Caenorhabditis elegans: one gene and its partner. The protein of the gene in region 2 interacts with the protein of the main gene of each other region in a biochemical or structural test. Each region holds a gene or a part of one and is shown on either strand. Other genes may lie near its edges.

Region 1 (3,923 bases), 2.4 Mb from region 2:
GGTTGCCGAAAATCTCGGTTACCGCACATCCCGGTACCTACTTTTCTACCGTATTAAAATTATCAATTATTGGACTAAATTTTGAAAAATTCTAGAAGTTTTTATTTCAATTTTGAGCCAAAAAACTGGGAAACTCTGTTTTACGAGTTTTTGGAAGCCCGGGTTCAAAAAATGTTTCTTCCGGTTTTATGATCAAATTATGTTTGAAATATTTATATTTTTGAATATTGTATTTTGTTCACAGCTGCACCTCGTAGAAACGTTCTTTAAAATTTTTTGGCGGAATTTTTCAGAAAATTTTTGAGTTTTTGGGGTGTGAAAATTTTCTGGAAGCTTCGTGAGAAACCTATAAAAATTGACACATTTTTTCTCAATTCTCGATAAATTAAAAAAATTCTCGAAACAAAAAAATGTCCTTCATCTACTTTTTCACATTTTCAAGAGCATTAAAATTTTGCAACTCTGGAAAAATCCACTGTTTCAGTAATTTTACAAGCTTCTTGCCATATATGTGGTGTTAGAGCGTCCGATTTCGGTTTGATCTACGTAGATCTACAAAAATTGCGGGAGAAGAGACACAGGGTTATCAACTGATTTCGCTGACGTCACAATTTTTGCGCAAAAATTCCCGCATTTTTTGTAGATCAAACCGTAATGGGACAGTCTGGCCCACCATGCGTATATTTTTATCCGAAATTTTATCTCTCCAAAAATAAAAGCAATCTTTTTTTCTAAAATTTCCAAAATCCCAAAAACTCGCCACTTGAAAATAGTTTCATTGTCCATCATCAACATCAGTTCCCTCTCTCCTCAAAACTAGAATAGCAGATGATAGTCTGCCTCATCTTTTTCCATGCCATCTCCAGTCATCGTCTTCCTGTAGGGCCCCCCTCCTGTGTCTCTGCGTCTCTTCGTCTCCCCTACTCTCTCACTTCCTGATTGGCTCGATTGTCCATGACGCCGAGGATAAGACAAGATTTTTTCTTGTGCAATTTCTGTGACTTCTGGGACCAAAAAAATATCGGAGCCACTGCAGGCGATGTTTTTCTGTTTACTTTGTACTTTTTGTTTTGATTTTTCTGAAAAAATTACCGAAAATACTTTATTTTTTATTATTCCGAAACGACGTTTTTCCGATCGAGAGCAGTTTTTTTTGTAGATTTTTGATTATTTTGAAAAGGTTTTTGGGATCGGAAATTTTTTAGTCAAGCTTAAAATTTTTTTTAAGTGTTGGTGTAGATTTACGGGGTCTAAAAGTGTGAAAAAAAATTCAGAAAATAAAAGTTCCAAAAAAATTCAAAACTATCACCCAGACACAAAATTTAGCGATTTTCCCTTCAAAACTACAGTACCTCGGGTCTCGAAGCGACAATTTTTGATATTTTTTTTATTACATGCAAGAAGGTGTGCGCCTTTACAAAGTACTGTAGTTTCAATTTTTCTTTTCGAGTTTTCATGCATAGTTTTTCACATGATTTTTTATTTTCTATAATATTTAAGTTTTTAAATGAATAAACATATTTTTGCTTGAGAAACTATAAAAATTGGCAAATTTCGAAACTACATCGTTTCGAGACCAGGGACTGTATTTTTAGAGCGAAAATTCTGGAAATTTTCAACTGGAAATTTTCTCTTTTTCTTAATTTAGGAGGACCCTAAAAAAAGAGTATTCTTAAAATTTCAAAAAATAAAAAATATATCCCTCATTTCGGCTTGATCTACGTTGATCTACAAAAAATGCGGGAGAAGAGACGCAGAGTTCTCAAGAACTTGCTGACGTCACATTTTCAGGGCAAAAAACTCCCGCATTTTTTGTAGATCAAACCGTAATGGGACAGCCTGGCACCACGTGCCCTAGATTAATCAAAGATTTTAAGAAAAATCCGCTCCAGGAGCATTTCTAAAGACTACTTAAATACGTGGTGTCAGGCTGTCTCATTACAGCTTAATCTACAAAAAATGCGGGAATATTTTTCCAGAAAAGTTGTGACGTCAGCACAGCAGTGCAAAATCAGATGAGATGTCTGCGTCTCAGCTCCCGCATTTTTCGAAGATCAAAACGAAATGGGACTTTCTGACTCCACGTGCTTACAGAGTGTTCACCATTTTCTCCAATATTCGATCACCCTCATGCACCATGCCATTCCCCCCTCTTCACCCCCCGTTTCCCAAATACCAGACGGGCTCCAATTTCTGTCAATGATTTGCATCTCATTGACATTCGCCCCGCGGACACTCCATAATCATACCCCCGCCCCGTGACTCCGCCTCCTTTTTCGTTATTTGATTAATTTCGAACATTTTAGACTGCCTGCCTATAATGCATCATATCCTGAGACGTCGGTAGATTTTTGGTAGCAGACTTTTTTTTTGGATTTTTCCAACAATGCGTTTAGTTATTGCACAGTTTCTTCTAATAACTCAGGTATTTGCTGCACAAAAAAATAGTATTGGTAAGAGTTTTGTAACTTTAAAATGTCTGAAACTGTGAACTCCAGGTCCCCCGAAGCTTCTAGAACAATCAGGCGAAGAGGTGTGGTATCATTTAGATGATGAGGATCTCCTCAAAAACAGGTTGACACTTCGTTGCGAGGCAGATGAGAATACTGACAGGTGGGTGGAAATTTGGGATTGACAGGTGCTGCGTAAAACATGCAAGCCTACCTAGGCACCTACTAGGTGCCTACCTGCCTACGTGCCTTGTACCTCTGTGCCTAGCAGGTGTCTAGTAGGCACCACCAACCTCGTGTTTACTTGCCTACGCCTCTAGTGAACAATACATTTTTATGCCTGCTTGCCTACTGGCATAGTAGGTACTACAAATTCCAGCTCTGCCTACTGCCTATTTTTTTTTAACTTTTTCGGTTTTTTTAGTTGAGTTTTTGGTTTGGTTGAAGGTACTTCGCACTATGCAGCTTATGTCTGGGCGCCTGTATATTGTAGGCCCTGCCTATAGGTATACATTTTTAAAATAGCGTGCCTACGTGCCTTCATGTCTGAAACTGAGAAATCTTGTTTTTTTTGTTGAGAATTTGATGAAAATTTTTGAGAGAATTCGAGAGCATTTTTTAAAATAGCTGTGAAAAGTTTGCGAAAAACCGTCGCCTGCCAGGCGCCTACCGAAAGACATGAGGCAGGTGTAGGCCTCCCATGTGGTAGGCAGGTAGACATTTATGCCTATATAAATAAACTATTTCTGCAATAAAAGTATGTGTTTTTTGGTTGTAGGCACAAGACAGGCAAAGGTCACCTCGAAGGTAGGCAGGCACGTAGGTAGCTATTTAGGGCAGGTAATTAGGTAGGTATGTAGGCAGGCATTTATCAACTCTATTTCCAGATACTCCTGGCTCAAAGACGGTGAGCCATTCGTCATTGATTCCGAAGATGTTCTTTGGGAAAAAGAAAGTCAATCTGGATCAATTGTTTTTACAAAACCTCATGCTAGTCATCAAGGGTGAGAAATTCAGATTTTTGGAAAAAAAAACCAAAAAATATTGCAGATATTATCAATGTTTCGCATCGAATATATTTGGAACAGCACTTTCGAACAAAATGCATTTGAGGCTTGGATGTTAGTTTTTAGATGATTTTTAGAATTTTAAAATACTGGTGGGAAAGTCGAATTTTATTTTTTGAACAATTTTGTGAAAAAATTATTTTGGCGCATAAAAAAATAGGAATAAAAAACGTTAATTTTTCCAGAACACATTGGATTATTTTCAGCATGGAAAATGCCCTGAGAATGTTAAAATTTGAATATTAAAAAAAATTCTGCGGGAAGTTAAAATTCAATTTTTTAGTTTCTAACGAAATTTGGTGTGGAATTTTAACTCAATTTTTGCCAGAAATTTTGGTGGGAAATTCAAATTTAAAACTTTTCAAAATTTGGAAAAATTAAAATTCAGTTTTGAAGCCATTTTTTC
Region 2 (3,923 bases):
TAAATTCTGAATCAGGAGGTCAGATCGAAAACGGCGTACAGAAGATGTCAAGTGCATTGACCCTACTAAAAATGTCATCGTTGGGACCACCCATCCAATAACAGAAAGCCGGAAATGGGAATGCTCTTCAAAAAGTGAAACCGAGAAGAGAGCAAGGAGTAGAGGAGCAATTTTCGTCGTCGTCGTCGTAGACCTACTTTTAATCGCATCAAATATGTCTAGTACATACACATATAGACCACCCTGAGAGAGAAAGAGAGAGGACCCTCTTCTCGTATTTCCACACCTGAGTTGCATAACGTACACACCATCTTAAGCCCCTCGAAAAAAAACCAATGAGCAAACACAATGCTCAAGTATGAGCAGTATATTGATATTACTCCAAGTAAATCTTGACCATGCACACACACACACACACACACACACACACATCCGGTACGGGGGCTAGGTGACTTATCTCAGTATGTCATCGATAATTACCATAGTATGGTGTGCTAATCTAGCAAAATCTTGAACGCTCAATATTCTGGGAAACTCCATTATTCCATAAAATTGGGCGACACACCTAGTTAACTCTCGAGTTGACACCTGACAAAAAAAAGTGACACCGACCTCCACAGTGCGCATTGTTATGCAAATAGCACGCGGGTTCGCATACCGTTAAAATGATCAGCAAGTATTGAAAAGAAAGACGGGTGTACGGGGAGGTCGACTACTTCTAAAGTCTTAGGGAAGTAACGTAATTTCCTTTACACCCTCAAACTATTTTCCGAAATTGAAGACGTATATCTCAGTTGTCTTTTGTTTTATCAAAAAGTGTTTTACTATGAAAATGTAGAAAAATATTTTTTGCATATTTTTTTAGTTAACCGTTTTTTGATAAAATCAAAAAGAACCGAGATATAAGCTGTCAAAGTGGAGCGCTGCCCGACTCCTTGGCTTTACTTTGACGTTGTAAATCTCACTTGGTTTCAAATTTATCAAAACATTTTCTACTACAAAAATGTAGAAAAATACTTAGCGCGTACTTTCCTATTTAAAACTTTTTTGAAAAAAGTTAAAACAAGCGAGATTTGCATACCTAATGGAGTAAAAACGAAAAAACGGCTAAGAAAAATTGCTCAACTGCTAAAGTCTAAAATCAATTCAAATCTCAAATCACCCTCGCTCCTTTCAAATTCTAAAAGACGGACATGGGTAAACAAGGTGAATTTGAGAAGCAGGTGTACCAAGCACCTCTCTCCATTAAAGAATTTCTAGTGGGGGTCCGGTGTATGCGGCAAAACAATGCATCCGAGATAACGACTCCCTCCTCCCGTCACATTTACAATTTATAAGATGAAGAGCCCTGGAGTTTTCGAGCATCTGCGGAGCCTTATCGGCGAGAACCAAACAATAAGTAGTTTCGAACGTTTCACCCCTGATTACTGTTTGCTCAACTTGATAAGATAATAGGTTACCGCGAGCGCGGGAATCGTACTATTAAATGTAGACTTACAGTGAATTTGTAGAGTTCCAGTAGACAATGTGCTCGTCTGCAGCGGCCAGTCCGAGTAGCAAAAATGTTGTTATTAAAAATTCGAAGAATTGTTTCATATTGCTGAAAATTGAAAAATATAGAAAATTGGGTGTAGGAACAAACTAAAAAATAAGTGAAAAATTTTTAAAAAGAAAAGTAAGATAGCATCGGAAAAATTGAGTAAGGCACAAAAATGAACAGGTAAGATGAAAATAGGTCTAAAGTCTAAATGTTTGTGTGCACACACATTTGATGAAAAGGGGGTGAACTGACCACTACTATGCAGTAGGAGACACGCGTCTCCGGAGAGCGCGCAGAGAAAATGAAGGTGGTGGCGGAGAAGGCGGGACTTACAGGGAAATAAGACGGGGGGGGGGGGGGCATCTGTTGGGACGGGTGTCGTCGGGGCGGGAAAAGGCAAGAAGAAGTAGAGGATTGAAATATGAGAAGTGAGTGAGAAGCCAACAGGACCGTCTCCTCCGGAAAAAGAGCCTATTAAAATGAGGATGAGCTGGATGAAGACGAGCAGTAGAAGTAGAAGAGCATGACTTTTTTTTTTTTTTTGAGAAATGAAATGGCAGCAATTAAGTCGTGAGAAGAGTTGAGAGCTAATCAAACGGGGAATAGGGTAAGTTGGAAGGGGAGGGAAAAAGTTGGATATTTTCAAGAATTTTTTTAAAAGTTCTAGATTTTCTGAGAATTTTAGAAAAATTTTTGAACGAATTTTTCCAGATCTTTCCAGAAAGTTCTAGTATTTTTGTGGCATTTTTTTGTACTTTGTGGGATCAAAATAGCTAACCCTTCTGCGTTAAAAATTAGTTTTTTTTTTTGATAAAGAAGAATTTAAATTCTGCTTTTTGCGGCAAAATTTTTATGGCAATAGTTTTTGAAAAATTGAAATTTTGGTAAAACTATATAATTTTGGAAATTTACAAAATTTGCGCCAATAAATGTAATTCTGTAAAAATTAAAATTTCAAATTTTGCGCCAAATTTACTAGAAATTTATTTTTCAAATCAAATTCAATATTCATTTATTCACAAGAAAAAGGATTTCTCATTTTCCAATTTCAAAAAAAAATAGGTGGGAAATTACAAATTTTCTTGAAAATTGTATCTTTAAAAATGTAGAAAATAGGTCATAGGTAGGTAGGCAGGTACAAGGTAGGCAGGCACGCAGGCATCGGGAAGGTGGGCATTAAAATGTTCAAGAACTTCCAAAAAACTTTTTAGAAAGTTCTAGATTTTCTGAGAATTTTTAAAAATTTTAGAGAATTTTCAATGATTTCATAGGATTACCTGAAATTTTTACAGGTTTAAAAAAAATTGAAAGAATTTTTCAAGAATTTTCCAGAACTTTCAAAAACTTCCAAGAACTTTTTGAAAAGTTCTGAAAATTTTTGAGCATATTTTTTTAGCATTTACTAGAATTTTCAAGGGTTTTCATGTTTTTCAGAAGGATTTTCAAAATACTTTAAGACATTTTTATAATTTCCAAAAATTTTCCAGAAATTTCTGGAATTTCCAGGAATTTTGGAATAATTTGTTAGGATTTTCAAGTTTCCCAAAGTTTCAAAACTTCCTAAAATTTTAGAGCACTGCCTAGAATTTCAGAAAATTTTCCAAGGATTAAAACGAATTGATATTTTCGGTACTTGTGTATTATACTTTAGGAATAGTGTTTTCCTAATTTTAAGCCTAAAATTCCACACGTTTTTATTTAAAAAGTTAAAAAATTAATTTATAAAATGGCGGGGGTATAATACACAAGTACCATATTTTCATGGATTTTGGAGAATTTTCCAGAATTTGCTAAAAATTTTCAAAAATTTTTTTTCTGTATTTCAATTGATTTTCTATAATGGTCTAGAATTTTCACAAATTTTCAAGAATTTTCCAGACTTTTCTATAATTTTCTATAATACTGAAGTCTTCCAAGTTTTTTGAAATAAATTTTCAGAATTTTCAAAGATTTCAAACCTAAGTTCTAAGCGGTCGGCAGGCGGGCAGGAGTAAGGTAGGTACTTCGGTAGGTATGTAGGTATGCTGTGTGCACACAGGTAGGTAGGGGGGGGGGCAGGCGGGTAGGTATAAACTAGGCATTTAGGTAGGTGTGTTTTGCTTCTAAATATTCAATTTCTTAGATATTTTTCCCGCTTAAAAAATAGATTTTCAGATTAAAGCATAAGATATTCTAGAACACAAATTGTTTTTCTCCTCTGCCCAAACAAAATTGCATACATCCAAATCTGGATTGAAACGGAATCTAATCAACTAGTTTAGATCTCCAGTTACGTCACTACTAGAATATTTGAAAATAGTCGCAAATTTGTTTGCCCCCCCCCCCCCCCCCCACCTCATCGTATATTTTATCATTCATTTTTACACTCTCCAATCACAAAGGG

The links.
Region 1: the proteins of efn-4 (region 2) and lad-2 form a complex in vitro, tested with the Caenorhabditis elegans proteins (one study listed by BioGRID).

What each region holds. Positions count from the first base shown.
Region 1 is NC_003282.8:2,976,862-2,980,784, reverse strand, and holds the start of lad-2 (Neuroglian), read left to right. Parts: upstream 1-2,300; 5' UTR 2,301-2,386; coding exon 2,387-2,453; intron 2,454-2,498; coding exon 2,499-2,613; intron 2,614-3,337; coding exon 3,338-3,454; intron 3,455-3,500; coding exon 3,501-3,571; intron 3,572-3,923.
Region 2 is NC_003282.8:556,911-560,833, reverse strand, and holds the start of efn-4 (Ephrin-4), read right to left. Parts: upstream 1,601-3,923; 5' UTR 1,597-1,600; coding exon 1,499-1,596; intron 47-1,498; exon of another isoform or gene 1-46. UniProt on the Caenorhabditis elegans protein: Regulates the formation or stabilization of cell-cell contacts at several stages of epithelial morphogenesis. In early embryonic development, involved in ventral closure of the epidermis.